Linked DNA regions of Kluyveromyces lactis. The protein of the gene in region 1 interacts with the protein of each later gene in a biochemical or structural test. Links are inferred from orthologs where the notes say so. Each region holds a gene or a part of one and is shown in the gene's direction. Other genes may lie near its edges.

Region 1 (2,768 bases):
GGCCAGTGAAATGGAAAGTTGCTTATTTTGTCACCGTACATATTTTGTCGTTCTCAGACGAACAATACACTTTCTCAGGTAAATCTTACGACCTACTGACTAATACCAAATACCTAACTTTATCTGAAGTTGATAGGCTTTTTGGTTGCTATATGACTATTTACGTGATATCAAGAAACATATATGATATTACTTTCTCCATCAGGGAAATCTATGATTATGCATACCAATACTTAATGGAATATGATGAATTGCATCCAATTTTGAGAAAATACTGGAAAGAGCTATTCATATATGGCCTAATGAATGCGATTCTTGTTTCAATAGGAGCTTCTGCCATACATTTATGTTTGGCTCCTGATGGAAATTCTTCTCCGATTTACACCTGCCTCTGGCACATAGGATTTGGTTCTTCCCAGAGAGTTGGATTTGCAGTAATGCTCATAATATTTTATATTGATTTGACACAAGAGGGTTTGAATAGGTTTAAAAAGCAAGCGGATGATCTGAAGGAACAGGAAGATTTGGCACAAAGAAGGGTGAACAAGAATCAGAACGCTAACATTTTCAAAGATAAAAGTACGGTAATGAATTTTTGCAAGAGCAGAGACGTAGATGAAGACATTCTTCTGGAGTCAACCCCGCCTTTGAACCCACCATCAATTTTACATAGCCCCTTGCTCAAAAAGTCCACAAAAGTTGAACAGAACGAATCAATAAAACTGGTTTCTGTATCAAGTGTCGAACACTTTGAAGAAAGCTACGTTCCTCTTCTGAGAGAAAGATTAGATGAAGAAACCAATAAAAGCAGTAAAACAATTCCATCAAAAAATTTTCTACTTAGTACCATGGTAAAGATAATCGTATTTACATCAACCTTCCTTCAGCAACCTGTTAAGACAATGAAGAAGTTAATGCCATATAAAATATACAATTCTGTCAGAAAGGCAATAAACGCCCCAACTTAGCTAATAAAAAATCATATATACACAATATAACCACATTTTGCTCACCAACGCAGTAGGTCTCCTCAGTAAATGCTCCCTTTACTGTCTTCAGTATCATTTGCCTGCCGCATAAGTAATCCTTTTCTCATCATTTTGTGATTTTAGCTGTCTCTGTCATACAATATCATTCAATATCGGTGGTATAAAACAAGAAACCTTTATTTGAAAAGTTGATGATAAATAATGAACAAATTGTAAGGACAATGAATAAGAAATAGATATCAAACTAAATCATCTGGGACTACGAATCAACGTGAATCGTCATCATGGATGAAGATGAGAAGAAGGACATGTGTCCTATCTGTAAAACAGACAGGTATCTATCGCCTGATATGAAGTTTTTGATCAATCCAGAATGCTATCATAAAATTTGTGAATCATGCGTGGATCGTATATTCAGTTTGGGTCCTGCTCAGTGTCCATACGAAGGGTGCGATAAAATTTTGAGAAGAAATAAGTTCAAGACCCAAATCTTTGATGATGTAGGTGTCGAGAAGGAAGTTGATATAAGAAAACGTGTTTTCAATGTGTTTAACAAGACGCTGGAAGATTTCGATAACAACCAAGACGATTATGATAAATACCTAGAAGAAGTGGAAGATATTATATACAACTTAGACCATGGTATTGATATGGAGAAGACCGAGGAGAGGTTACGAACCTACGAAGAATTAAACAAACAGCTAATCATGGCAAATTTAGAGCGGAGCAAACAAGATGTCGCTAACTTCGAACAGAGACAGAAGTTTGAAAAGGAAATGAAGTTAAAGAAAAGACTACTAGAGAAACAGATAGAAGAAGAAGAGAGGGCTAATAGGGAGTGGGCAAAGAGAGAAATTGTCAACCAGCTCACAGTGAATGAAGATGCTGAGGAAGTTATTGAAAATGTGAAAAAGACTGTCAAGCTAAAGAAATCCTCTGCCAGAAGGAAGCTCGAAGAATTAAATAAAGTGTTAAGAAACAATCCTTACATGACAATGACAAATGGTAGAATGAAGAAGAAAGATACTGTACCGTTCACACCATTCAATGGGGACAGGGATTTACACAAAAGATACGAATTGGTTGAAAACGAGTATAATGATTCTTTCATCAGAGACTTACAAAAGAAGAAGGAATATATAGCCTCAGGATTCAGGGCGGACTTCATTTATGATAGAATGTTAACAGAGGCATTCATGGGTCTTGGTTGTATCATTAGCGAAGAATTACAATCCTCTTAGTTGTATCGCGTTGACGGCAAGTGTTGATAACTCTTCGTTTGATACATCTCCTACTTTATTCAATTTGTAATTCTACCGAAAAAAAAAACACATAGTACAATGGTAAAGAGCTCGGTAGCTCTTTATCCTCATCATAATCATATAGCATTTAGGTTAGTAATCTATTCATTATTAAGAGTCTTCTCATTTGTTCATAACTTATCACAAGGAATACATACCGTTTTGATAATTTCTTTATCGGCAGATGTAGAAAACTCATCATCCGAGACTGGAACTAGGTCCCCATCAACGGAAGCATTGCCATCATAGGGTTCTTCATTACTGTCTTCAATGATTTTGATCACAATTATATCAGTTGTTCCTTCCTTTATACCAAATCTGTTCAATGCATCGCCAATGTTCGAACTAGGAGATAGTGATAAAATGCATTCAGAATGGATAGTTCTTGTCCGCATTCTATTGTACTCTGTTTCCAAAATAGCCTTATAGATGGCACTCGACAATTGTTCAACGGATATCACAGTTTTGGAGTCGATGT
Region 2 (3,321 bases), on another chromosome or scaffold:
ACAAACAAATTTGGGAGAGGCGCTTTAAAAGAATGGCTTGAATTGGGGTACATAACAAGAAATTACTCAAGAAGTGTCACCAGAACTATGGAGTATTCGTATAACGATTTTGCCCTTTATATCGTTGCCAAAGGTCTCGGTAAAAAAGATTTAGCAAAGACATACCTTGAAAGATCGAAAAACTGGCGTAACATTTGGAACCCAAATGCTAAAAGTGTGAATATACACTATGACTACACCGGATTCGTACAACCTAGGAATTCTGACGGTACGTTTGCTCAACATAGATATGATCCGTTTACATGCTTTGGTTGCTATTGGAGAGACGATGAATATGAAGGAAAACCCGTGGAATATGGGTGGACGGTGCCTTTTGATATGAAGACTTTATTAGAATACATTGGTTCGAAAGCAATGTTTGAAAAACGTTTAGATGATATGTATGCGTTCTGTGGCCATGAGAACGTGGTTGATATTGGCAATGAACCAAGTTTTTTGACACCTTATCTTTACGCGTACATTAACAGACAAGATAAAACGTCAGCATTAGTGGATTGGATCATAAATACAAAGTTTAAGACGGGACCGCGTGGTTTGCCAGGGAATTCTGATGCAGGAGCCATGCAAGCGTGGCTAACCTTTGCCCTTCTAGGTTTTTATCCCGTGGCTGGTACTGATATTTATTTATTAACAAGTCCGAAAGTTAATTATTTGAAACTTAAAAGCATGCCTAACGTTCCAGATATTGAAATTTTTGCACATAACTTATATTCAGAATTTGGTGTCAGAAACAACTTCATTGAGAAAGTTGTTATCAATGACAAAGAACTCGATAAGAACTGGTTTAGACATTCCGAGCTATTCGAACACGGTGGTACCATCGAATACTACATGAGTGAAAAACCATTGGACTGGGATTCAGATAAAGAGTGTCCACCACAAGAATTCAGCGTTTAAGATTCAAGTATAATGGTGTAGTTCGTTAAATAAAATCAGTGATTATTAGGTTTTACATACAACCCTCGCTATTTTGTGTTGAAACTTTTTGATCATATGATCACATGATCAAAATCATGTAAGAAAATTTAGTGAATTTATAACAAGTGAAGCAAGATTTGAAGGTTAAAGAGTAACGCTACACCAATTTGGCTGAATAGACGTAGAGCTCCAGGCATTAGTCGATTTTTTAATTGGACTACATTTGGCTGTACTCTGGTCAAATTTTATTAATCGTTTTTGATTACGATAATGCCTCCTATTATAGATAGTGAATCAGACGATGAACGGATCATTGGAATCACTAACAAGAGACATAGACAAGATGGTCAGACCAAAGTGCTGAAAAACAAAGTGAAGAAGCATGTTAGAACAAAAGAAACTGCAGATTCGGATGGTGCAGGCAATGGGAATTCTAGTGATGATGAAGAGGATGAACGAGTTCATTCACAACTATCAAAGAGAAGTCGTGATCCAAGAAAAATGAAGAAGAAAAAGAAGAAGAAGCTGTCCAACAAGAACTTACAAGGTGTCAATGGTGGTTATGCCTGGGAAGATGACATTCAAAGAAGTTGGGACCTTGTCAAAGTTGATGATGAAGGCAATATCGCTGCTATTGTGGCAAGCATAGTTGAAGCAAGAAAAAAAAGGGCAGCAGAGAAGACGGTTACTCCGTATCAAAGAGGTATTATCAGAACCCTTATCTTGGTATTGGATTGTAGCGAAGCAATGATGGAAAAAGATTTGCGACCTAATAGATATGCAATGACAGTACAATATGCTGTAGACTTTATTCATGAGTATTTTGATCAAAATCCTATTTCTCAAATTGGTGTAGTTGTTATGCGTGATGGTTTAGCTCAGCTAATATCGCAGGTCAGTGGTAACCCTCAAGAACATATCGATGCTTTAAAGATGCTTCGTAGGCAAGAACCAAAGGGGAACGCTTCTTTACAAAATGCTTTAGAGATGGCTAGAGGTCTCTTACTTCATGTTCCAGCGCATTGTACTAGAGAAGTACTCATCGTTTTCGGTGCATTATCAACTACAGATCCAGGTGATATTCATCAAACGATTGGCTCATTGGTACATGAGAATATTAGAGCAAAAGTTATTGGTCTATCTGCTCAAGTCTCCGTTTGCAAAGAGTTGTGTAAGCAGACGAATTATGGAGATAACTCATATTATGGGATTATATTGAACGATCATCATTTTAAGGAACTATTCACAAGTGCAGTGACACCGTTACCGGTGAGCAAAGTGAACAAAGGGTTCACCTTGGTTAAGATGGGATTCCCTACCAGAGTATTTGAGGACACACCATCATTTTGTGCTTGCCATTCGACTCTAGTCCATGGTGGTTACGTCTGTCCCAATTGCAAAACTAAGGTTTGCTCTCTACCGACAGTATGTCCGAGTTGTGATTTGATGTTGATACTCTCAACACATTTAGCAAGATCGTATCATCATTTGATGCCTCTTAAGACTTTCCAAGAAGTCCCAGTGTCAGATAGCTTCCCTACAGACTATTGCTTCGGCTGCCAAAAGCGATTCCCCACCTTAAGAAATAACAAAACAGGCGAACTATTAACAAGCAGCAGGTACAGATGTGAAGAGTGTGATCAAGATTTTTGTATAGATTGTGATGTATTCATTCATGAAACGTTACACAACTGCCCTGGGTGTGAGTCCAAACCAATCAATGTAAATATCAAATGAATTTAACCCGCTAATCATTTTCTCGGTAGTTCCAAGAAGAAAATATCACAAGAACGACTTTTAAACATTGACTCAAATTGTATATAACATTGAATGGTTACTAAAAAAAAGGCACTCACATCCTTTACATCTATTTACAATGTACTCCCCCTGGGTTGGCTGGATACCGCTTTCCCTACAATTGTATAAATCTCATCTCCTAATCATTATCTGCTTGTTTAGTGCATCTCAGATTGTGACAAAATAAAAAGTAACGATTATTTTCAAAATTTTTCAGCTCATCGGAGAAATTGCAAAATGAAACCTCGAATAGAAAAGGCAACAAGATACCAACCGATTTTTCAACGACCTCACAAAAAAAAAATACTGTACTGAATAAACTTCCTGTTACCATCAAGTTTGTGCTATATCTCTAGGACAGGTAGGTTCTTTCAAACTTGAGATTCACAGGGAGTTCAACCGTACGTCTCTTTACATTTGCATTGGCTTCTTACTGTTGATTTTTCCAATCACTTTAGTCTGCTGTCAATCCGGTTTAACTGATTTCACTAATTAAATCGGACTCATCCTCTTCACAATTAAACATTTCTGTTAAGTGGTTGAATA
Region 3 (4,256 bases), on another chromosome or scaffold:
CTTCGTGTTCAAATGCAATCTTCTCTCTTTCGACTCTGGAGAAATGTTTTCTTTGTCCAGGCAATACTTCATCAACGCCAGCTGAAATCATTTGTTTCTTTGTTGAAGGTTCTTGTGATGATTCTTTGGAATTTTCAGTGGAATCAGATTCAGTTTCAAGAGGACGTTTGCTGTTGGTTTCGGTTTCTACTGCAGTTTCGCTATCGCTGCTATCGGAGTCGCTAGATGAGGAGGACGAATCTGAGGACGAATCTGAGTCTGAGTCTGAGTCTGAGTCTGAGTCTGAGTCTGAGTCTGAACTAGAGTCCGAACTAGAGTCCGAGCTGGAGCTAGAGCTAGAGTCTGAATCTGAATCTGAACTAGAGCTAGAGCTAGAGTTTGAATCGGAGTCTGAGTCAGAGCTTGAATCGGAGCTAGAGTCTGAATCGGAGCTAGAATCAGAACTAGATTCCGAGTCCGAGTTTGACGATTTCGACACCTTTACTTCCACTGCTACTGGCTCAGATTTTTCATCTTTTATCTTAATTTTGATGTCTTTTTCGTCCTCATCATCGGATTCTGAGCTGGCACTGGAGCTAGAGTCTGAGTCGGAATCAGAGTCTGAGCTGGAACTAGAGTCTGAGCTGGAACTAGAATCTGAGTCTGAACTGGAGTCTGAGTCTGAACTGGAACTGGAACTGGAACTGGAACTGGAACTGGAGCTACTATCAGAGTTCGATTCTGAATCTGAGCTAGAGCTTGAACTAGAGTCTGAGCCAGAATCCGAATCCGAATCTGAACCTGAACCTGAACCTGAACCTGAACCTGAACTCGAGCTGTCGCTGGAATTGGAACTAGACTCTGAACCACTTGACGATGATTTTACCTTTTTGTCATCTTTCTTCGTCAATTTTGGCACTGAAGACTTGGAACTTTGCTTCTTAACACTCATCTGTAAAAATTAGACTATTTCCTCACCCAAACCACTGGTGATCCTATCGTAATCGCTCTTGGATAAGATCTGAACCTACCTCATCGCAAGCTCATCTCGTTTGGATAACGCTATTAATCTCGAATTTTTTTTCAATACGTTTCTTTTGCCGTACTATGTGACGATGTCCTGAGGTGTGGTGTATGGGTTGTTTCAGTCTTACAACTACTAAAACTGTAAAAACAACTAGCAAAACCGGCCTTTTCGTCTATTCGGCAACCTCGTTGTTGTATTGTTAATCGTGGAACTACCTAGTGGTTGCAATGGTTATTAGTTGGTCATCCAACTCTAACTTATATTGGGTTTTTGGCTCATTCTGGTTATATTGTTTGTCCGGGTAATCATTTTTGCCTCAACATTATTAATCTGAAAGATGATTTTAAGAGAACTTTAACTTTAATTAGATGTTTAAGAATCAAAGTCCAAGGACGGACAAGGGAATTAAGGTCTATCCCCGGAGTCTATCTGTACACTAATTGTGTCATTATGGAAGATGAGGTAGTGAAGCGTTCATATCACACAAGAAGTAGAGGTGGAAAGGAGAAATTAGTGCAGGACACGGTTTTTTCAGATGACTCTTTGGTTACAGACGATGAAGAATACGGGGATATTGCCCCAGATATCGACGATGATGTCTTAGATGAAGAAGAGGAAGCTGAGTTAAAGGAATCTCTAATGCAGGCGAACGCTCCTGCTCCTCAAGTGAATCCTCTTTTGAGTCGGAAATCGAAGAAAAGTTCTTCTTCTTCTAGATCTGCTGCTGCTGCAACTGCTGGTAGTGGAATGAACCATAATCTAGCAGCAAAGGATGATATCCTTCATGCACATTTGGACGATATTCCCCCTGATTTTGAGCCTGACGTTGTTTCAGGAATGTTCAAGACTAACGATTTCAGCTACTTAAAATTGAAGCCGGATCATGCCTCGCGGCCTTTATGGATATCGCCTAACGATGGACGTGTGATCTTAGAATCATTCTCTCCATTGGCAGAACAAGCACAGGATTTTCTTGTGACGATCGCAGAACCCGTTTCTAGACCATCTCATATTCATGAGTACAGAATTACGGCTTACTCTTTGTATGCTGCGGTTTCGGTTGGTTTGGAAACTGAAGATATCATAGCAGTATTGGACAGATTGTCCAAGGTTCCTGTTGCACCTTCGATTATCAACTTCATTAAGAGTGCAACTGTATCATACGGTAAGGTGAAATTGGTCATTAAGCATAATAGATATTTCGTGGAAACTTCTCAAGCTGATATCTTGCAAATGTTGTTAAACGATCAAATCATTGGTAATCTAAGAATCGATACCGATGCTGCAGTGGATGCTGCGGTTAAGAAAACCATGGCGAATAAGATGGTAGATGCAGAGGGAGTGGATCCTAACGATGTGGAAGCTGTCTTTTCAGCTGTCGTGGGGGCCAATAAGGAACTTGAAGAAGAAGACGATGATATAGATGCGGTTCATGCTTTCGAAATTGACAATGCATCTGTCGAAATTGTGAAGAAAAGATGTCAAGAACTTGACTATCCGGTGTTGGAAGAATATGATTTCAGGAACGATCGAAGAAATCCAGATTTAGATATCGATTTGAAACCATCAACTCAAATCAGACCATATCAGGAAAAATCCTTGAGCAAAATGTTCGGTAACGGTCGTGCAAGAAGTGGTATTATTGTGTTACCATGCGGTGCTGGTAAGACTTTGGTCGGTATCACAGCGGCATGTACTATCAAAAAGTCTGTGATCGTGCTTTGTACTTCGTCAGTGTCAGTCATGCAATGGAGACAACAATTCCTTCAGTGGTGTACGCTCCAGCCTGAAAATGTTGCCGTCTTCACATCAGATAACAAAGAAATGTTCCAAACTGAATCTGGTCTGGTGGTCTCGACTTATTCCATGGTTGCTAACACTAGAAATAGATCGTACGATTCTCAAAAGGTTATGGATTTCTTAACGGGTAGAGAATGGGGTTTCATTATTTTGGATGAAGTACATGTCGTACCTGCAGCCATGTTTAGACGTGTTGTGTCCACTATTGCCGCACATGCAAAATTAGGTTTAACTGCAACTTTGGTGCGTGAAGATGACAAGATTAGTGATTTGAATTTCTTGATTGGTCCAAAACTTTACGAAGCTAATTGGATGGAACTTTCACAGAAAGGTCACATTGCTAATGTGCAGTGTGCGGAAGTTTGGTGTCCAATGACTGCAGAGTTTTACCAAGAATATCTAAGAGAGAATGCGAGAAAAAGAATGCTACTATATATTATGAATCCAACCAAGTTCCAGGCGTGTCAATTTTTGATTCAATATCATGAAAAGAGAGGTGATAAAATTATCGTCTTTTCAGATAACGTCTACGCTCTTCAAGAATATGCTTTGAAGCTAGGTAAGCCTTTCATTTACGGTTCCACGCCACAACAAGAGCGTATGAATATTTTGCAGAATTTTCAATATAATGACCAAATCAATACCATTTTCTTATCAAAGGTTGGAGATACTTCGATTGATTTGCCAGAGGCGACTTGTTTGATCCAAATTTCGTCTCATTACGGGTCTAGACGTCAAGAAGCACAAAGATTGGGTAGAATTTTAAGAGCTAAGAGACGTAACGATGAAGGGTTCAACGCCTTCTTCTATTCTCTAGTTTCTAAAGATACTCAAGAAATGTACTACTCCACAAAGAGACAGGCATTTTTAGTTGATCAAGGTTATGCTTTCAAGGTTATCACCCATCTACATGGTATGGAAAACTTGCCTAATCTAGCATATTCTTCTGCTAGAGAACGTAGAGAACTTTTGCAAGAAGTTCTTCTCAAAAACGAAGAAGCTGCAGGCATTGAAGCAGGTGAGGATAACGATAGCTACATTTGGAAGAATGGTGGGAACAAGAGACCAAGGAACAAATCTAAGGCTGTTAAGAGCGAAGGATCTTTGGCTGGTTTGGCTGGTGGTGAGGATATGGCATACCTAGAATACAGTTCCAATAAGAATAAAGACTTAAGAGATCATCATCCATTGATCCGTAAAATGTACTATAGAAGTGCAAATAAATGAACAATATTGGGTTTTATAATTTATCATCCGTATTAAACTGGCATACTTTAAACAGCAAATGAATCATCTTTCCAAAAATCGCATCACGAATCAGTTTTATAAAATCCTAATACTTAAATATACCACATATAATCACTATAAAAAGATGTTTTCGTCCGCTGTCTAAAATAAACAAAGAAATGATTGCTTTTGCACAGTGAATTTCAACAGTATTGATATTGTA

Evidence for each region.
Region 2: the proteins of TFB3 (region 1) and SSL1 are reported together in a solved structure, tested with the Saccharomyces cerevisiae proteins (2 studies listed by BioGRID, with this or other methods). The link is inferred for Kluyveromyces lactis from reciprocal best matches to the Saccharomyces cerevisiae genes TFB3 and SSL1.
Region 3: the proteins of TFB3 (region 1) and SSL2 are reported together in a solved structure, tested with the Saccharomyces cerevisiae proteins (2 studies listed by BioGRID, with this or other methods). The link is inferred for Kluyveromyces lactis from reciprocal best matches to the Saccharomyces cerevisiae genes TFB3 and SSL2.

What each region holds. Positions count from the first base shown.
Region 1 is NC_006039.1:1,296,069-1,298,836, forward strand, and holds TFB3 (TFIIH/NER complex subunit TFB3), read left to right. Parts: upstream 1-1,273; coding exon 1,274-2,230; downstream 2,231-2,768. Other genes in the region: KLLA0_C14850g (uncharacterized protein), read left to right, coding at 1-968; CGI121 (Cgi121p), read right to left, coding at 2,422-2,768. UniProt on the Saccharomyces cerevisiae protein: Acts as a component of the general transcription and DNA repair factor IIH (TFIIH or factor B), which is essential for both basal and activated transcription, and is involved in nucleotide excision repair (NER) of damaged DNA.
Region 2 is NC_006041.1:850,339-853,659, forward strand, and holds SSL1 (TFIIH/NER complex subunit SSL1), read left to right. Parts: upstream 1-1,248; coding exon 1,249-2,715; downstream 2,716-3,321. Other genes in the region: KLLA0_E09593g (uncharacterized protein), read left to right, coding at 1-957. UniProt on the Saccharomyces cerevisiae protein: Component of the general transcription and DNA repair factor IIH (TFIIH) core complex, which is involved in general and transcription-coupled nucleotide excision repair (NER) of damaged DNA and, when complexed to TFIIK, in RNA transcription by RNA polymerase II.
Region 3 is NC_006041.1:1,154,021-1,158,276, reverse strand, and holds SSL2 (TFIIH/NER complex ATPase/helicase subunit SSL2), read left to right. Parts: upstream 1-1,456; coding exon 1,457-4,033; downstream 4,034-4,256. Other genes in the region: SRP40 (Srp40p), read right to left, coding at 1-931. UniProt on the Saccharomyces cerevisiae protein: ATP-dependent DNA translocase. Component of the general transcription and DNA repair factor IIH (TFIIH) core complex. When complexed to CDK-activating kinase (CAK), involved in RNA transcription by RNA polymerase II.